Tribolium castaneum: one gene and its partners. The protein of the gene in region 2 purifies or fractionates together with the protein of the main gene of each other region. This does not show direct contact. Links are inferred from orthologs where the notes say so. Each region holds a gene or a part of one and is shown on either strand. Other genes may lie near its edges. The genes, in order: calnexin, EMC1 and CHOp24.

The links.
Region 1: the proteins of EMC1 (region 2) and calnexin purify together in Homo sapiens (affinity purification with mass spectrometry; 4 studies listed by BioGRID and IntAct, with this or other methods). This does not show direct contact. The link is inferred for Tribolium castaneum from reciprocal best matches to the Homo sapiens genes EMC1 and CANX.
Region 3: the proteins of EMC1 (region 2) and CHOp24 purify together in Homo sapiens (affinity purification with mass spectrometry; 3 studies listed by BioGRID and IntAct, with this or other methods). This does not show direct contact. The link is inferred for Tribolium castaneum from reciprocal best matches to the Homo sapiens genes EMC1 and TMED2.

Annotation. Positions count from the first base shown.
Region 1 is NC_087402.1:5,188,359-5,195,542, forward strand, and holds calnexin, read right to left. Parts: upstream 4,524-7,184; 5' UTR 4,328-4,523; exon of another isoform or gene 4,323-4,327; intron 4,320-4,322; exon of another isoform or gene 4,225-4,319; intron 4,039-4,224; 5' UTR 4,020-4,038; coding exon 2,793-4,019; intron 2,110-2,792; coding exon 1,969-2,109; intron 1,740-1,968; coding exon 1,599-1,739; intron 1,547-1,598; coding exon 1,358-1,546; intron 1,309-1,357; coding exon 1,249-1,308; 3' UTR 749-1,248; downstream 1-748. Other genes in the region: parathyroid hormone/parathyroid hormone-related peptide receptor, read left to right, coding at 1-239, 290-748; nSMase (putative neutral sphingomyelinase), read right to left, coding at 4,708-5,499, 5,548-5,731, 5,778-5,951, 5,999-6,030; gem-associated protein 5, read left to right, coding at 6,532-6,704, 6,755-6,887, 6,935-7,166. UniProt on the Homo sapiens protein: Calcium-binding protein that interacts with newly synthesized monoglucosylated glycoproteins in the endoplasmic reticulum. It may act in assisting protein assembly and/or in the retention within the ER of unassembled protein subunits.
Region 2 is NC_087394.1:1,540,030-1,546,993, forward strand, and holds EMC1 (ER membrane protein complex subunit 1), read left to right. Parts: upstream 1-2,633; 5' UTR 2,634-2,742; coding exon 2,743-5,268; 3' UTR 5,269-6,244; downstream 6,245-6,964. Other genes in the region: ArfGAP1 (ADP-ribosylation factor GTPase-activating protein 1), read left to right, coding at 1,483-1,676, 1,726-1,945. UniProt on the Homo sapiens protein: Part of the endoplasmic reticulum membrane protein complex (EMC) that enables the energy-independent insertion into endoplasmic reticulum membranes of newly synthesized membrane proteins.
Region 3 is NC_087401.1:13,708,287-13,714,162, forward strand, and holds CHOp24 (transmembrane emp24 domain-containing protein 2), read right to left. Parts: upstream 4,186-5,876; 5' UTR 4,090-4,185; coding exon 3,963-4,089; intron 3,917-3,962; coding exon 3,635-3,916; intron 3,450-3,634; coding exon 3,259-3,449; 3' UTR 3,190-3,258; downstream 1-3,189. Other genes in the region: PIG-L (N-acetylglucosaminyl-phosphatidylinositol de-N-acetylase), read left to right, coding at 1,503-1,821, 1,865-2,249, 2,620-2,794. UniProt on the Homo sapiens protein: Involved in vesicular protein trafficking. Mainly functions in the early secretory pathway but also in post-Golgi membranes.

The DNA of each region.
Region 1 (7,184 bases), on a different chromosome or scaffold from region 2:
TATCAAATTACATGTTTCTTCTGATGGAGGGCGCCTATTTACACAACTTGCTCTTTTTGAAATTGCTTTCGGAAAACGGGGTTGTAATTTATTACAGTTTGGGGTGGGGGATCCCCCTGCTTTTCATAATTCCGTGGATTGTTCTAAAGGCCGGGAATGAAAATATTTACTGTTGGACAACAAAATCCAGTAAATTTATTGCAATGTTGATTGATGTCCCGATCGGACTTACGGTGGTTGTGAGTTTCCAATTTAATTAAAAAAAAATGTTTGAAGCACCAAATTTTAGATCAATTTCATTTTATTTACAATAATCGTCCGAATACTTTTCGTGAAACTGACTTCGATGTACATTCAGCAGCGCTGGACCAAGTACCAAAAGCTCATCCGTGCTATTTTAATTTTGGTGCCTCTGTTCGGGATCCCTTACACGATTTCGTTCGTGTTATCGTTCTATGCGCTGGAGGACCAGACGTTTGAAATAATGTGGTTATTTTTTGACCAGACTTTTACAGCGTTTCAAGGACTTTTTGCCAGTTTGGTTTATTGCCTCTTGAACAGCGAGGTTCAGATGGAGATAATGCGAAAATATAACTCTTTCAAGGACCGCAATCGGGAGTTTAAGAGGCGAAGTCGCACGATCTCGCACACGCAACAGATTCCGCTGACTGAAGAGTTGCAAGAAATGCCGCACAACGCGGGGATTAAAGATCAGCTGTGCATTAACAAAACAAGTGATTATTTTTAAGTTTATTTATTGTAGCTTTAGTTCCACACACAATAAACTTAAGTAATTTATTTTCCTCTGAACTATTACATAATCACAGGACATTATAAATATAATATAGAAAAATCGCTGATGCAAATCATGCAATGACATAATACTAGTACGGGCGAATTTGGTCTGGGAAACTGAAGAGCTGCCGGTGAAATGGTACAAATTACCAAAAAATAGTTCCATGTTTTTTATTTTCTGTAATAAATAATCCTCAAATATACAAACGGCTTAATACCTTTCCCTTAAGCCCTCCGTTTGATTATTTACAAATACAGTAAAATGAACCGCTGTCAAATACTTTATTCGAAAACGTAACAACTACAATTATACTATTCTTTCAAAAAGAACAAATTTCCTAAGGAAAAATGGAACGAATAATGTACAGCAAAAAAACAAACAATCGTAAATAAATACAACTGCAGGATTGCATGATGAAAACAGTGCTGGTGCAAGTTATACAAAAATTACTATCACTCCTTACGAACTTTTCGTTTCCTCGCGCCGTCACCTGCACCTTTGGATGACTGTTCCTGCGAGAACATGATAAACCCAATTTTAATTTTAACGACTGAATCTCACCTCTGTTTTTTCCTCTGATTCCTCTTCTTCGTCGGAATCAGGCCCTGAATTCTTTTCTCTATCGTCGTCTTCTGCATTTTCAGCTTCTACTTCATCTTCTTCTTCTTCTTTACCTTCTTCTTCTACAACATCTTCAGTCGTTTCGTCAGTCTTTTTATGTTGCGCTGCTTGTCGAAGCTCCTCTTTCTCCTGTCATTGTCACTTATTAACACCGCAAAATTTAATGCAATAGCCAAAATACCTGAATTTGACTAGCAGAGGATCCAGGCTTGCAGCAAAGGTATAATACAAAAACAACAGGGATGCCTAGTACGATAATGTATACTCCCCAAAGCCAAGGGTAATCATTGGTCAAGGTAGCTAATTTTTGAATTACGCTTTCCTATGTCAAAACAAAGAAAACTATAACTAGCAGTACGAAAATACCTCTTGAATGCAGAAGTAGAGGTACCATATGTAACAACAAACCGGTATGGCGCAATAAACGAAATATAAGAACCACGGTACAGGTTTATAGTTTAACTTTTTCATAAGACGACCCCACAGTGTCCTCTTATTTAGTAAAAAATCACAAATATAATAAAATTCATTTAAATTAAACAGATACTAACCGAATCCTTGGCGATCTTTTGCTTCTTTTTTTCAAAAGTGGCGTCTGCCCAATGGTTCGCAACGGTAATATCGTCGGTAATAATAATATTGTCGAAGAAAATGTCCTTTGACATTGACCATAACTCAAATCCAACAGCGGTCTGAAAAAAGTTATTTGTCCAAAGATAAATTAATCTTGAATGAATTGCAAAAATACAATTCTTTATTTAGGTTTACAAAACATTTTTATCACAATACGAACGCAAATTCGCCAAAATAAGCATAAAAACGATTGGGTGTGGCTAAGTATATATTACTTCCTTAGTTAGCATATCTCACATAGCAACTAAATCCTTTTGTAGTGACACAAACAATTCTTTTTTGCAACATGTTTTGTTGAAGGCAACAATGCAATAATCAAATACGCAGTTTCGGTAAAAATATGGAAATTAAACAACTACAATTCTGCCAAAAACCAAAGATAATAAAAAAAAATCGCAAAAATAAATGTGTCAATTTCAAGTTGGCTCAATTTTATCAAGAGGCAATTCTTTTACCATTTTCTCACTGTCCTAGGCACTCTAAAAAAATTGCTAACAAAATTAGAAGCTCAGAATTTGTTATTTTTGTACAAAGCATATCGAAATATACTTTTCACAAATTCTGGAAACTGGAGAGGAAACTAGAGCTGACAGCCAAATTTTGACTGCAGATTTGTAAACTATGTTCTAATAGTGTACAAAATCAACTGATAAATTTGAACAAGAAGAAAAAATAATGTAAACATATCGGCACCAATAATTACAGTTACATAAACAAGATAATTTTTTAACCATTTACTTACAACAGTCTGCATTTTAAAGGGATGCTTATCTTCGAAGAACTCGGGATTGGGGATCCTCCTGGGCCTCCACTTCCCCTTATAATTAGGATTATCGATAAGCGGCGCCCTCCACTTCCCCTTATAATCGGGATTATTGATAAGTGGGGGCTCCCAAGGCCCACACCCGACAGCATCCTTACAAGCGGGATTATCAATAAGCGGTGGTTCCCACTCCCCGTCCATTTCCGAATCCCAATCTTCTGGTTTCTTTGCATCAGGATCGAAAACATGCGACGGTTCATTATCCAGCCAACCTTCCGGTTTCACCGCTGATTCATCAACAATCTGAGCCGGCGCATCCTCATCCCAATCGTCAGGTTTCACGGCATCTGGGTCAGGGATTTTCTCCCTTTCATCCCAATCCTCAGGTTTCTTGTCATTAGGATCGTCAATTTCTTTCGGAGGATTCACTGCCGGGGTGAAATCCTCAAGCAAACTTCCCGAATTGACCACTTTGTTGTCGATTAGGATCTCGAAGGTGTTGTCAGGGTGCAGGACAAGGGTGAACAAGTGGGGGAGTTTGTCGGAGAAGACTTCCTCAATGCGGTCTTTGGGTTTTTTGCAATGCTTTTCCTCGACGCTCCCGTTGAGAGGGTTGCGGTGCTTGAAGATAAAGTGGAGCTTGTGGTCGTTACCGCACTTGTCGGGGCCGAACATGATCGAGTAGGGGGTTTTATCGTGGAAGTTGTTCAAGTTTTTACTGGCGGAGTCCTGGGTGAGCAGCTTCAAGTAGGCTCCGCCACATTCTTGGCCGTCTTGGAATATTACTTCATATTGCACGATTAATGGTTTAGTATCAAAAATAAACGGTTTTAGGAGAGAGGAGGCAATAGCAGCGTGTTTAGCCTTTGATTTAAGCACTAAACCTTTGTCGCCCACTAGACTGTCTTTTTGGGTTGGTTCAAGTTGCCATTCACCGTCGTATTTTGCGATGTCTTCGGAAATCCCTTCTTTCTTCGCTTGGGATTTTATCCAACGTTTCGCAAACTGGTCTGGATCGTCGAAATGCTCGGCGAAATAGACCTTTTTCGGGTCAAGGGGGCTCGGACTTTCGTAGGGGATATCAATGTGTGATTCTTCCGGTTCTACTTCCACAGTAGCCTCGTCAGAATCGTCCACTTCGTCACATTTTACCGCCGAAAATATCAACAATAACGTGATTACTGCCGGAACGAGACTTCTAAGCATTTTGTGATCATATATTGTCCTGCAAACCAAACCGGGCACTAATTATGTGTCGTGATTACAGGATGACGAAACGGAAGCAGTATTTACTAATATAAGTCAGGGACTAATCCAATTTAAAAAATTAACCTGAAAGGTTAGTGAACGCACTTCCCAATCGATTAGTTACGAAATTACGCCAAATATCGACAAAAACGCACTCTCTTACCCAACTATCGACACGCTATTACTACAAAATGCACAAAAAAGCCGACTTCACGATGAAATAATTAAAATTCTAGAGACCGACAAAATAAAATGACATACCTAACCTCAAAATCCGGAAGTAGTTTTACACAGCACTCTTACAACACTAGCTTCAGCACCACAGTCTTAACTCAAATTGGTGTTTACTTAGGCTGTATTTCATTTATTATCAGATTATTTTTATTGTAGTTCTTGAACACCACGTAATACACCGCATTTATGAAGAGAATAAACACAAATTCGCCGACCAATCAGCGTCAAACAGATGGCAAAGTTGCGCTCAGTTCAAAAATAGGCGGGGAAAAAAAGTACAAACAGTTAAAAAATGAAAACTTTATTCACCAGTGGTACAGAAACGATCACAGTCGTACAAACCAAATAAAAAATGAGCAACAGGTGTTGGTCTTTGATTTAAAATACTGAGCTTGTTTTGGCCCTGATATAATTACAAATCTTTGGCTTTTAATTTCCTCAAAGCTGTCTCCATTCCCAACTTGCCCGCAATCACAGCATGACGTTCGATTTTATTCCAGATAGTTGCCATCATCAAAGTGTAAAACATAAAAAGGGTGATTAAAATTTTCAAAATGTGGTAAATAAAATTCAGATTGTAGCCGAAAGGTAGGTCAGTTGCAAGTGTCGTAACCAGCAACACGATTAAAACGAACGTAAAAAACCAGTACAAATATTTATGGTTATTCAAGCCCCTGAGTGCGTCATCACAGATTTCTATGCTCTCTTCAAGGACAGTTTTCTTCATGTGTTGGTCGCTTTTCAGCGACCTTATCTCGCTCTTTGTGACGATTAAAGTCGCAGCGATTGCTTCATGGTCCGAGTAACTGTACGCACATCCGGGGATTTTGTGTGGTAACGGCAATGTGTAGCTTTTTAAATCGATTTGTAAACTTGAGCCTGGATGATACATGATATAGTCGATTCTTTTGCCAGGAATGTTTTTCTTGAGTAAGGCCACGGGTGTGTAACTATTAGTGAGGCTTTCATTTGTCGCCACACAATTCTGCACCGTTTCTCCAGCTTCACCAAACGCATCTACAAGTCCCGGAACACTCAACATTATCCTGTAGGCTAAATCTCCAGGTTCGGTATTTAAGTCCCCGGCCAGGACTACTAGGTCGGCGTCTCCAGACGTCATTTGGATAAATTGAGCGGTATCGAAAGATTGGAGCACTCTGTGAGCTTGGTATTCATCACAATTTCGGTCGTATTCTGCGTGCAACTAAAATTATTACTCTTTGTGTTGTTCATCAAGCAAAATAAATCTTACATGTGCAGAGTAGACGTTGACGGTGTAATTGTTCACCTTTAATTTACATAAACCCACGCCCTTTCCACCAAACCAGTCACCATGGTGGATTTTATGAATGTAACCATTTACTGGCCATTGGTGGAAAAAAACGTCCTCCATCGGGTGTCGCGATAAAATACAAACGCCAGAGCCCGTGACTCCGCTACAACTCACCTTTACGCTTGTTTCAACTGAATTTTTGAATTTACCTGTAAAAATAGTGAGAGTATGGTAACACCCCTGAGACTTTGTTTCTGATTAACTGGTAGTCAGAGTCAAGCCATATCTCTTGGAGGCAAACTACATCGTACTGGCTAGTCGCCAACTTCTCAGCTATTGCCTGCATTCGGTGTCTTCGGTTCTTGGAGACCACCGCAAGGCCCCTAAGAATTTTGTGCAATTTTGTAACATAAATCACATGACAGCTTACCAGCAATTCAAAGTAAACACTTTAAACTCCATTATTACAGAAAATGATAGATTTATAGAAGTATTTTTGCGAAATAGATCTAACTTTGTGTTAAAAGAACAGTGACGTGTGACATTACTGTTGACATTTTTCCTGCATGGCCACGTGACAGTTGTCAAACGTCCAACAGCGTAAGTTAAAAGGGTGGCGAAACATTAAATAAATTAAATCGACTCGCAAAAATTACCAGAATGTAACAAATAATCAGGTAACGACCAATAACTTTTTTCGGTAATTTTTGGATGAGTTAAGCTTTAATTTGTAACAGAACTTGGCTGTAGAAAACGAGAATGGTGGGAAATGGTGGAAATGCGTGCAGGGATTGTCTGGTCGACTGTAATGTTTATGGTGCTAACTTCAATTAATTTCGGACGGGTGAACATTCTCCGGTTCAGACGTCTTGTTCAGTGCACAAACTCGCCCAACCACATGTGAAAATAACGTGTAAATGCGTTTTAAAAGTTACTTGTTCAGTTGTTGAATAATTTGGTGAGATGAACGAGTTAGCTGTTCCTCCTGCGCCCCTTTGGTACAGGAGTTCAGTGTTGGCGTGTGCCCCTGACAATACCTTGGTGTATGGCGCAAAAAGCGATATTGTTATCGTTAGGGAAAAAGGCCCCGAAGAACCGGCCGAAGTGAAATTGATTCATTCGGCTCACTCTAAACTGTACTTGAGTTTTACGTTTCTTGGCCGTTTTTCTACAATTGATGTTTCAGTCTCACTTCCGTTAGTTTGAACAGGAGATGGAAGGAGCCCCATTCGTACGTGGTGTCCCTGGGGGAAGACAGCGTGATGAAGGTGTGGGACTTGGATACCTTCGAGAAGAAAACGTCGAATAGGGATCATGTGGTAAGTCTGGTATTTTTAAGGAAAGCACAATGAGATAATGATGATAGGAACACAAAAACCCCGTAATTGGGGCCGTTTTTGCGGGTGATGATCGCGTCGTAAGTGCGTCATCGACCGGTTTTGTACACGTCTGGAATATCAACACGAATGAGTCCAAGCCTTTGGTAGATTTATTCAAAAGTAAAGTCACTCTGACTTGTCTTTCGTCGTGCCCCCATGCCGGCTGGCTCATGGCCTTTGGACTAAATAACGGTGTGGTGATCGTGGCCGATTTGCGTCGTAAGTTTGCGCATAAAA
Region 2 (6,964 bases):
TACTTGTACAAAAAAAAACAGTTGGCTATATTGTGATGGGTTAGTAACTTGCAGCTAAATAAATACTAATTTCAACACTTGTCATGGGCGTTAAAAAATTAATGTTTTTAGTAATTGTTCGTTTTTCATTCGTTTCGTTTAGTTTTTAAATTTCAATTAAAATTCCTATTTTAAAACATATAAACTTCATGGAAGAAAAACTTCAGATGGCATAGGGATTTTGACAAATAAATAAAGAGTATATTTTTAATAAATGATACATACTTTACATGCGTTACGAAAGAACAAGTAAATTTTTACAATGTTCAACTAATAATTTTTCTCCAAAAAATTTCCAAAATTACAACAAAACTGATGACTGATTTGGGATCCTCAGACAATTTTAAATTAAATAGACATATTTTTGACATAAATTTTCGGTTATTGTAATTTTAATGATTTTTTATTGTTAGGTTTGTAAGTAAAAATGTAACCAAATTGATTTATTCAGATTATTTGCACAATTTTGACTTAATTCCCATCAAATTTTGGACAGAAATAGATAATTAACTAGTAAAAAGGGCATAAGTCGTCTTAGATCATTTTAATATTTTTTTATATTTTTCTCTTATTTTTGGTATATTGGAAAAATTAAAATCGACCACATTTCGTCTGATATCTCGAAAACTACGAATAAAATATCAAAAATGATTACAGATTTGGAATCGTCAGACAATTCTACGTCAGATAAGCATACATTTGAAATAAATTTTCGGTTATTGTGGCCTTGATAATTTTTTAAAGATGAGATAGAATTTTTTTTGACAAAGTTGTTTTACCTAGATAATTTGCACAATTTTGACCCGATTGCCACAGAATTTAGCACAGAAATAGACAATTAACTAGTAAAAAGGGCACAAGTCGTTTTAGATTAATTTCAATCTTTTTATATTTTTAAATTTTGGAAAATTAAAAAAATTAAAATCGGTCATATTTTGTCCAATATCTCCAAGACTACGAATCGCAGAACAAAAAGGAAGACAGATTTGGAATCCTCGGACAATTTTACGTTAGATAGATATACTTTTGAAATAAAGTTTCGGTTATTGTGACCTTGATAATTTTTTTAAAGATTGATTGGTAAGAAATTTTTTTTGACAAAGTTCTAGTTTATTTTCTTTTAAACAATTTTTTGATTAATTATGTTTGCTTTTTAAGAATTTTTTTTTTGTTTTTTTCTCAATTCTGATCCCAGTTTTGTAATAGTTTTTGTTCTTTTCTTCGCACAAAATTCCACTGTTTGTTTAGCTTCGAGTAACAAACCCATCGTAATAAATGGCTTCTTCCGATAAAAGCGCCATCTGATGCAGCTATACCTTAGCCACTTTTCTAGGGCGGCAAATTCAAATGTGTTTTTTATTTATTACTCGTTTATTATTTGTACAAGTAAGCATTGCCCATTTGTGTGTTTTCCGCCTTTTGATTTAATGCCCATGCCCATAGATGGGCGAGTTGGGTCGCAAGGGTTGGCGCGAAGTCTCTGGTAGTGGTAACGCAGGCGACTACCATTCCGGTGGTTATGGGCAAGTTGGTGGCGAAAACTACCATTCACCTGGCGAGAAATCCTCGTTGGTGAGCAGTGGCAATGGTTACGTCCGGGACGAAGACTGGAGTTGTAGCAGTCAACAGGGTTCAAAGTATTTGTGTTTTGTTTTTGGTTATTTTCTCTGATTTGGGGATTTTAAGGGCGTCTAGTCCCAAGTCGCCTGGCCAGAACTGGGACGGCAGTTGGGGTGGTTACCAGAGCGACCATCAGGGCTACCAATCCGACTCTAGGGACTTTTCCTCCCCCACGTCACCCACAGGCGCAAAATCGAGCAAAAAAGAGAAGAAAACAAAAGAGAAGAAAGCCAACTGGGACGATAAGTGGGGGGATGACGAGCTGTGGGAAAGCCTCAACAAGTAAAATTGTGACCAATTAGACCAATTAATTATTCGCATCGTGGGTGTTCATGACGTTGTTATTTCAATTTTTTAGCTCAATGTTTACGGTTTATTTACTTTATTTTTATCATTCAATGTTGTTACATTATAACTGTTGCTTATACCGGTACCAAAAGTGAGATTATTTATTTTTAACGGACTTAAACGACTTCCAGCTTGGTCACAACGCGCGAACATGCATTTATTGTCCAGTTGTTGTTACTGTAAATATTCCTTGTAGCTATAGGCTATTATTAACTGAAACATTTATGTAAAGTATGATTAATTCGAAATTTCAAGACAAATAAACATTATTTTACTCACCTACTTGGCCTTAATCAATTACAGGAACCTGTATCGTGTGAGCCGGGACTACCAACTGAAACAGCCATTTTCAACCATCCCCTAAATTTTTCTTCGATAAAGATTGTAACGAATGATGATGGTATAGCTATGTGATACAGTTTTTTCGCACACAATTGCCCAAATATTTCAAATTACTTGGTAGGGCTGTCAAGAAATTCTCGCTAAAGTGCATTCGCGTCTATTCCAGTTTTACTAGTGCTGTCCAAGAATGCGAAAAAATTGAACAAATTACGGAATCGTGATCCTAAGATCAATATTTTTGGAAATCGGCTCAATATAACTGCTATAACTCAATCCAGTAAAAATAAATGAAAGTTTGAAAATTCTCGTCAGCGACCATTCTCGCCAACGTCCTACCCAGTTTATGACTTGTCAAAACCATTGAGGTTATGTCATAGAGGTTATGTGTTCAAAATGACGAATTTGGGGCACTTTATCACACTATGCGCCACAATTCTCTCAGCCCACGCGATCTACGAAGACCAGGTGGGCAAATTCGACTGGAAACGCTCATTTATCGGCAAAGTAAAGCACGCTCAATTCGACACCAAACGCCTGATTGTGACCACACATGAGAATATCATTGCTAGTCTGAGCCCCAAAACTGGCGAAATACAATGGCGCCAATTGATGGAGGACCCCCAGGAGCACCAGCCCCAGCTCCTGCACCTGGACAAGGACGCGGTCACAGTTTCTGGGGGCAAGTCCCGGTTTTACGTGCGCGGGTGGGACGCCCCCACTGGAAGCCTCCTGTGGGAGTGGCCCCTGGTGCTGGACCGCCCCGGCGACTCGTTCTGGCTGCTCCAAGGCGACTTGTTAGTGCATGTTTTGGCAATTAAGGGCTCCCACATGGAAGTGACTCAGTTTAGTGTCAAAACGGGGGAAGTCCGGGCCAAGACGCGCAAAATCCCCGAAACGTGGGTTTCCGGTGACAAGTGCGTAACAGCCAACCCCTACTTCGTGTGTGTTTTTAACGGACAGTTGTTTTGGCTGGATGTGGTTAATGAGGGGGGCAGAGCCTCGTCCCAGCCGATTCAAGGGGGCCCTGACTGTAATCTCCTCGAGTTTGATGGCCCAAAACCCGCCGTATTACTCGTGAGACAAAATAGCGCTAAAATCGTGGAACTTGGGGGCGCAGTTTTGCCGCACGAAGTGGCCCCAAACGCTGTCTCGATCGGTAGTTCTGTTTTTCAACTTGAGGCAAATTTGGACAATTTGGATAAATTGGTTCGGGTGAAATCGTTTGATCTAGTGAGCGGGCGTGAAAGTTCGGTCGAGATCGATTATCCGTTAGGTCTCGGAGGACCATATATTGTGTCGGGGCAGTGCCGTGGCCCCGCCTGCGAGCTCCTCCTCTCCAGCACTGACCACGCCCTCACGCTAGTCCGCCTGCCCGAAGGGCGCGTCTCCTGGACGCGTGAAGAAGCCTTAAGTAACATAATCTCAGTCGAATTTTTCGAGTTACCAGTGTCCGACCTTGAGGCCAGTATCGAGACCGAATTTACCGACAACGACGTCATCACCATGTTCACGCGCCGCATTTCCACCCAAACCAAACAGCTCGTTAATCTAGTGAGCGGGCAGTTCGGCTCAACTCGGGACGACTTCGGCCTACACCGTATCATTGTCGTGGCAACGGCCGTCGGTAAACTCTTCGGGATTGACACGCTTCGCAACGGATCAATCGTGTGGACGTACCGCCTACCGAACGTCAAGCCTGTGATGCTATTGGTGCAGCGCACGGCGCGACACGCCCCCTTGCCCGCCCAGTGCGTGCTATTGGCCCAGGACGTGACGACGGGAGGCGGGGTTTTGTTCGCCTTTGATCCGATTAGCGGGGAGTCACGCGGGCTGGACCGGTTGTCCTATCGGATCAAGCAGGCGTTTGTGGCGCCCAATGAGGACGAGGAGCATCTCAAACCGGTGATTGTGATTGGTGCGGACGATTCAGTGCGGGTGTTCCCCGAAAGGGGTCCCAAAACAGTCGCTTATGTTTATACAATCGATCAAAGTCTGGTTCAAGGTTATAGACTTGAACCGGACGGGTTAAAACCGGTATGGAACCTAAACTTGGGTGTGTGTGACCTTGTGGGGGTTAGCACACGTCCGGTGACCGAGCGGGTGCATTCCCAAGGTCGGGTCTTGCACGACCGGTCGGTTCACTACAAGTATGTTAACCCCAATTTAATTGCGTTGGCAACACTGAGTGAAGACCCGGTACATAAGAGCGTTCTTAACGTGTTCCTGGTTGATGGTGTGACCGGTTTTGTTGTCTACTCGACCTCGCATAAAAAAGCCAAAGGGCCGGTACATTTAGTACATTCGGAAAACTGGCTCGTTTATACGTTTTTCAACGAACGGTTCCGAAGAACCGAAATCGTGGCAACGGAACTGTACGAAGGCTCAATCCAGAGTAACAGTACCGTATTCAGTTCCTTTGCCATAAGTCAGTTACCAGAGGTCAAAACCGAGTCATACATCCTACCAGCTAACCCCGTCTCCATGTCAGTAACTCTGACCGAACGTGGGATAACCAACAAGTTTTTGTTGGTCGGGACCAGTTCTGGCAGCGTTGTGGAAATCCCCTGGATGTTGCTCCAGCCGCGGTTTGCCGACATGCCCTGCGGTCCAGAAGAGAGCTGTTTCCCCTACATGCCAGAAATCGCCATACCGCCCGAAGCCACTATTAACTACAACCAAACTCTGGCAAGGATTCGCAAAATCGCAGTGGCCCCTGCCAAGCTGGAGAGTACAAGTCATGTGTTGGTCCACGGGTTGGACTTGTTTTATACGCGAGTGGCGCCCTCTAAGACTTTTGATTTGTTGAAGGAGGATTTTGATCATCGGTTGATTGTTTTGGTTTTGGTGGGACTGGTGGTGGCATCGTATGTTACCAAGTATCTGGCGGCCAAGAAGGCGCTAAGACAGGCTTGGAAGTAATTAGGCAATAAATTAAGGGTGGGTGTCCATGGACGGGCTTTGGATATTTTTTTATTTTTTGGGAGGATGGTTTTATACCCTATCTGGTCGTGATGGTAGTCTTGAAAGTATGGTGTTTTTGTGCTCCAGTTTAAAAGTTTGAATAAGATTTCCGAAGTATTTGAATGACCTTGAGACTTAAATAGTATATAGATCCTACACGAGAATAACAAAAATATTTTAAAATTGCAGTTGAAGGAAATGTATGATGTGCAAAAGAATGATTATTTCATACATGTTTAGTAAAACTGCTGTTTTTTTAACTTAAAGTCATTTAATTAACCAAGGAGCAATCATAACTAATGCCATTATTTTTTATGGTTTTACAGTGCCATTAATTTTGATATTTATTATGTCTCATGGTTAATTTTTATATGCATGGTCATTGAAAACACATTCAAAATTTCGATTTTCTCTACACAAATTGTAGTTTATTTATTATATTAAGTAAAGAAAAGTTGTTCATTATCTGCCTACTTTTCTTTACGTCTATGCCACTTGTTTTTCTTATAGAAAAAAACATAAAGATTTGGTAATAATTTTTTACCAGTAGAATAAAAAATAACTAAATTAAATAATCTACCATAGGTATCTGTAAAAGCAAACAATGGTTTTAGGAGGAAAAGTGCATAAGTGCAGGCTTTCACGATTACTGTCGACATTCGAGGTTTTAAAACAGATTATATGATGAAAAAATGTTAAAAATCCAAAATGCCGTTTTATGGATATTACCAATTTAAGTTTTAGTCAATGTGCACCTTTGTTGTTCTGTTTGTTGTACAATCAAGTCAGTTGTTTTGTTGTTTGATACTGTGTCTTTATACAGCATTTTGTAAGATAATTACGTTCGGTACGGACGTGGCGTAATTTGTAATTAGAGTTGTTGGGTCGTGTATAAAGTGTAAACAAAGACCAAATAAAAAGTTTAAAATGCAAAGTGTATCGATTTTTTGCCAGAGGGATATTTGCATTTGTGGGGAATATTAATGAAAATAAGTAAATAAGCTTTGCTATTACTTATGATTTTTTAAGCAATTTTTACATCATGTGTCAACGAAAATAAGGATATAACTTCGAAAACATTTTTTGATTTTTATTCAGAATAAGGTATTGCTTTCTGCATTAATAAAGATAAGGATAATCTTAGAAAAATAAGCTAAAATTATTATCTGAAGAGTAAAGAGTATGAAACTGAAATTATTTTGAGTAACACAAGTTCTAAAAACAAGCAAATGCGTGTAAGTAAAAGTAAATATTAATACAAAATAATCAGAAGACGCAGGGTTTTATTTTTAATTTTTTACCAGTAACAAATAACATTCGCATAAAAAATTTACTGTTACGTGTTGTGTGAGTGGGGCATTATCGCCTTCTAGTAGAGCAAACAACCCAAGAGGGCTCAAAACCTCTCAAAAATCATTAATTTTTTTCCACCCTAAAAGTTCCCAAAAATTGGGCACACGAAAAAATCGCTAAAATCTCCCAAAATAATGGAAAATTACCTCAAGAACGCTCTAAAAACTAACAAAATACCGTGTTTTTACACACCCCAAAATGGCTTTTTATTTCTGGACCTTGGTGCATGCAAAAAAGTAAAATTCTTGTTTTTTTACTTCATTGGGTGTTTTTGTTACGCCATAATTTGGTGCAAGTTGTA
Region 3 (5,876 bases), on a different chromosome or scaffold from region 2:
AAAACACTTTTGGTGGCTAGTCTAATTGACAAAACTGAAATCACCAGAAATGCATTAACTAGGCGTCCTCTGGTGACGACATGTCGTACTTGCCGAAAACAGTAACAAGTTTTGGTAATTGCTCATTTAATGGATTATTTAGCAATTCTGCGTGTGTACTGTTAATTTTTTACATTAGAGAGAGTCAATTTAAAATTATATGCCGGTAAATACTAGTGTTGCCTTTGGTTTTGCGTTTTTTCGTGATTATAAAGTGTTTTATGTTGGACTTTGATAAAAAAGTGAAAAAGATTTTTGATTACAAAGAGTTATTTAATCTATTGCGTAATCAAAAACTGTTAAGTATTGGGTCATTTACGGCGATTTACACACTACTGTTCCTTTCGGCATTGTATTGAGATCTCCGGATAATTTTATTGACTTAAAAGATATAAATATTGAAAGAAAGTGTTATTTGTGATAATTGAAGTAATTTGTTTAAGGAGATACTGTAATGAATCACTAATAACCAATAATAATCCATTTAAATAATCACACAAAAATCAGCGTTTGTGATTTTTTTTGCTTTATTTCTTTCTGTAAGCCTTCGAATTTTATCAGATTTTTTCTACAATTTCTTATAAATAATAAATATTAATTAATGAGAAATATTTATATTAATAAAATATTATTTTATTTAAAAAAAACTAAAAACATTAACTAATGGAAATTTTTATGATTTATAGAACAAGCGATGCTTGCAGAATGTTTTGTACAAAAAAAAATATGTAAAAAAATAAGTGTTCTACAAACGACTTGTTATTTACAGAAATACAATTTCTTTATTTGTTAATGCTTTTGAAGATACGTTCGATGAATAAGTAGATGTGGTTTATAATTATAAACCTAGTGTTTTCAAAGATATGAAATTACGATTCTCTTGTTTTTCTAAAGATGTCTTGTTCTCATTTTTTGATATCCAACGGTTTTATAACGTGAGATTTCTGAATTTTATTTATTTTATTTAGTTATAGTTCATTAAACATTCATAAAAGATATAGGACTGCAATAGCTAAATGGAAAAAATTGAGGAACAGCGAAATAATTTTGGAAACATGTTAATTTTAACCAGCTGAGTCAATTGTGCCGCCCGACGTCACACCTAGAGAGACTTTGAGGTCTCATAACTTTTTTATTTTTACGAACATAAAAAAATGAAAAGTACCATTAGTTTTACAATTATGAAGACTATTAGTGGTATTAATTTAAAAATGTAAAATTCTAGAAACGTGAATGTTTCTAGAAATGTCTTTTCTGTCGTTGATTTTCTGTTGGTGACCAGAATTCCCGCTTGGGAATGCTAGTGACAGATAAAAATCCCTAGAAATGGGGACGTCAACCTAACCTCAAAATTATGCCCTGTGCCAATTTCTCCGCCAGAAAATCTAAAAATACCGCAAATGCTCGGTAAATCTATTTCGAGCGTGACTTCATGACTGAGATGAGCCAAGCAGCGCCTTGGCATGAGTCTAGGTTTCGAATCGTTGGTGTCCCTCGTCTCAGCCTCTTGGAAGAATCTAACCGTTCGAGTCCAGGAATACACGAAAGAAACCGTGGAGCATTTAATCGTAGCCGTGTCCGTGTACATCATAGTATGCGTGTTTTTGTACCTTTCCATCTCTCGCTGGAAGATAATCCACTTCAAAAAAGACGTAAAAAACCCCCATCGTGTTTTACTAGTAATCGCACATCCTGACGACGAATGCATGTTTTTTGGCCCCACTGTTTTGAACTTCACCAAACAGAACCAATGTAAAGTGTTCCTGATGTGTCTTTCGACAGGTTTGAGACCCGCTCATTTTTCGGGCGTAATCACTCGTTTCAGGGCAAAATTACGGACTGGGGAAAACCCGCAAACAGGAATTGTACAAATCGTGTCGCATGCTGGGCATTGACGATAGCTGTATCACGGTGTGCAACCACACGAACTTGCCCGATCAAATGGGGGCCAAATGGCCGATTGAATTGGTCGCTAAATTGATTTTAAACCACGTGGAGACCTACAGCATTGACACGCTTGTCACCTTTGATAAACACGGAGTTAGCTATCATCTCAATCACTGCAGTATTTACTACGCGATCGCTCATCTCAGCATTGAGAAAAAATTGCCCAAGGAATGTTCTGTTTATGTTCTAGAGACTGTTAATTTGTTGAGGAAGTATTGGCTCCTGTTGGATATTCCCGTCTCGTTTCTTTTGTCCAGGATAAGGTGAGGGCGTTTTTAATGATGCATCAAGTTGGCATGCACCGGGTGACTACTAAATTAATTTGGCAACCCTGATTATCCAACTTAAATGTAAAAAAAATATGCATGCGTGTGAATTTTTCAGAACTATTCTACAATTCCTAATAACTTAATTATTAAGTATTAAGTATCAAATTAAAAATAATTTTTTGTTGAGTCTTCCTTTTAATAATATTTTACACGCTTCCCATAGCAACGTGTTTTAAATAAAAATGTTCCAACAAAAAAATAAGAAAACGCTTCTCGCTTACGCTCGTTGCATAAAGACAATAACCGAGTGTTGCCAATAGTATAATTCATGGGCAACTTGTAGCACAACTGTCAATTGTTTTAGGTATTTAGTGACTTCTGCAGACCGCGCTATAATCCACAAGGCCATGAAACAGCATCAGTCCCAATTAGTTTGGTTTCGACGTCTCTATATGCTTTTCTCAAGGTATATGTTAATTAATTCGCTACAGTTAATGGAATTGTCGGATATAGAATTAGATTTAGAAATAGACGACTAAATTTATATCACTCTAGACGAAACAAAGTTTCAACTTTTATATATCAACTTGTAAATACAAACCTACCTCTTGATTTTTGTTGTTTTTGTGCCAAAGTCTATGCTTCTTTGTAAGTTTTTATGAATTTTAATAAAATTATGTTTCTATTTCGCTGTTTTTTGTTACAATAAGAGGTGTATTCAAAGTTTCAGTAACATTTTACACCTACTATGTTATGAAATTACGCTTTTTTGTAATTATTCCGTTTTTCTTGTCAACGTATAATCTCTTTTTTGAGATCAAGTTGGCATAGTCAATTATTGGTTATGAAATTATGACATTGCCAACTTGATTTCGAAGTCATAGCCCGCTCTGATTGGGAATGGAATGTGTGTCGGGTGTAATAAAACCAAGTGTTCTGTGACATTTTTTATTAAAAATTCTTATTAAATATTAATTTACAAAATTTCACAACAAAAAGTGACTTAAACGACTCTCCGTACCTCGAAGAATCGCTTCAAATAATAAACCTGTCCAAGAGTCATCGCGACCAAAATTAGGGCCTCAAAAAATGACCACATCACAACTCTTGAATTTGTGTTTTCATTAATACTCCTGTGAATGCGGTCCCTGACTTGCATATACTCCTGTTCTTGCTTAACCCCAGTCAACGATGCTACAACAGCAAATTATTTGTGAACATTTAAATAAGCCTTAAAAATATATATTTTAAGGATATACTTGAATTTTATTTATTTAAAAACGTTGAATTAATAATTATGTACTATACAAGACGATAAAATATATATTTTATGTATATTTGAATACTTATTTTCCTGGCCTACTTGGGCCCCCACTCACCGCTCAGTTCCCGGATCATATCCTCCAACTTATTCGTGGAATCGCCCTCCTGGTGCTCGGCCTTGGGGCCCTCACCAATGGCCATATTAAACATGACCACTTTGGGCGTCATTGTCGACATCTTATTCGAAAAACAGTACGTGTAAGTGCCGGCAGTGTGCGCCGAAAAAGTGTACTTCCCCGAAGTCTCCCTTTCGCCCTGGTAGATAACCTTATCGTCGGGGCCCACGATCCGGACATCAATGTCCAGGAAGCCCCCTTCGGCTATCTCGAAAGTCAAGCCTGCAAAAGGGGGTTAGCTGGGCAAGGGCCCCGCACTACAACGTACCCATTTTTGTGCCAGCTTCCACCTTGTCGAAGAAACATTCCTCGGCGTGCGCGTCCACGGTTATGAAATAGGCAGATGTTGAGGATGTGTACAGGAGCAGAAGGGAGATTATCACTTTTGAACACATTTCTGAGATTTAAGTTAAATTCATCGGCCACGTATCTAACCTCTCCTGTCAAAAGGAGACGCTGCCAACATGGCGATTTCACAAGATTTTTCCATTTTTTTCCAAAATCAGGGAGAATTATTAATTAATTGTGGCACAAAATGAGTTTAGTCGGTTGTACACGCTGTCAGGTCGCAACCAAATTTTTTTAGTAGAAAGTTTAATGAAAAAATGAAAATTGTAAACTGTAAAGTTGGCAATTGATTACAAAAAAAACTTCCTATATTGTAATAAATACCTAAATAAAGACAATACTACGTTTCGTTTCAAACAGAACTTGCATAAAAGTGACTTAGTCAAGCAACTAATTATACCATCCATTATTAATTAAATAATATTCCGAGTATTAATAATAAATACCATTCATTTTTTTTACCAATAAAACTCCCCAACAATTTATATTTTCCTTAAAAAAAAACGGATGCCGACCGGGTGCGAACCCCGGACTCCAAGTTCCAAAACAAAAAACGGGAAAAAATTAAACTCAGTCATTTTCAGTCTAGTTTATTAAACTCAAACACATTATATTTACAAAAAAAATACTTACTATAGGGTAATAAATTTCTAAATAAACACAATACTACGTTTCGTTTCAAACAGAACTTGCATAAAAGTAACTTAGTCAAGCAACTAATTATACCGTCCTTTATTAATTAAATAATATTCTTTGTATCGATAAATTAATAATAAAAATTATTCGATTCTCTTTTTAGCCAATAAAATTCCCCAATAACTCATATTTTACTTTAAAAAAAAACGGATGCCGACCGGGTTCGAACCCCGGACCCCAACTTCCAAAACAAAAAATGGAAAAAATAAAAAGTTATTTTCAATCTAGTTTATTAAACTCAAACACATCATATTTACAAGAAAAACCTTCCTATGTAGTAATAAATACCGAAATAAACACAATACTAAGTTTTGTTTCAAATAGAACTTGCATAAAAGTAACTTAGTCAAGAGTCAAGCAATCAATTATACTGTTCTTTTTTAATTAAATAATATTCCTAGTATTAATAAATTAATAATAAATACCATTCAATTCTCTTTTTAGGCAACAAAACTCCCCAATAATTCATATTATCTCTTAAAAAAAAAACGGATGTGACCGGGTTCGAACCCCGGACCCCACCTTCCGAAACAAAAAATGGGAAAAATAAAACTCAATCATTTTCAGTCTAATTTATTAAATTCAAATATATCATATTTACAAAAAAAACCTTCGTATATAGTAATAAATACTTAAATAAACACAATACTACGTTTTGATCAAACAGAACTTGCATAAAATTAATTTAGTCAAGCAACCAATTATACCGTCCTTTATTAATTAAATAATATTCCTAGTATTAATAAATCAATAATAAATACCATTCAATTTTGTTTTTAACCAATAAAACTCCCCAATAATTCATATTTTCCCTTAAAAAAAAAAAAACGGATGCGACCGGGTTCGAACCCAGGACCCCACCGTCCAAAACAAAAAATGGGAAAAAATAAAACTCAATTATTTTCAGACTAGTTTATTAAACTCAAACGCATCATATTTACAAAAAAAACTTACTATACAGTAATAAATATCTAAATAAACACAATACTACGTACTTGCATAAAAACTGCAACCAATTATAGCGTCCTTCATTAATTAAATAATATACCTTGTATTAATAAATTAATAATAAAAACCACTCAGTTTCAAGTCGTATTGCATTTAAATTAAATTAAAGCATGAGGAAATAGTTAAACTA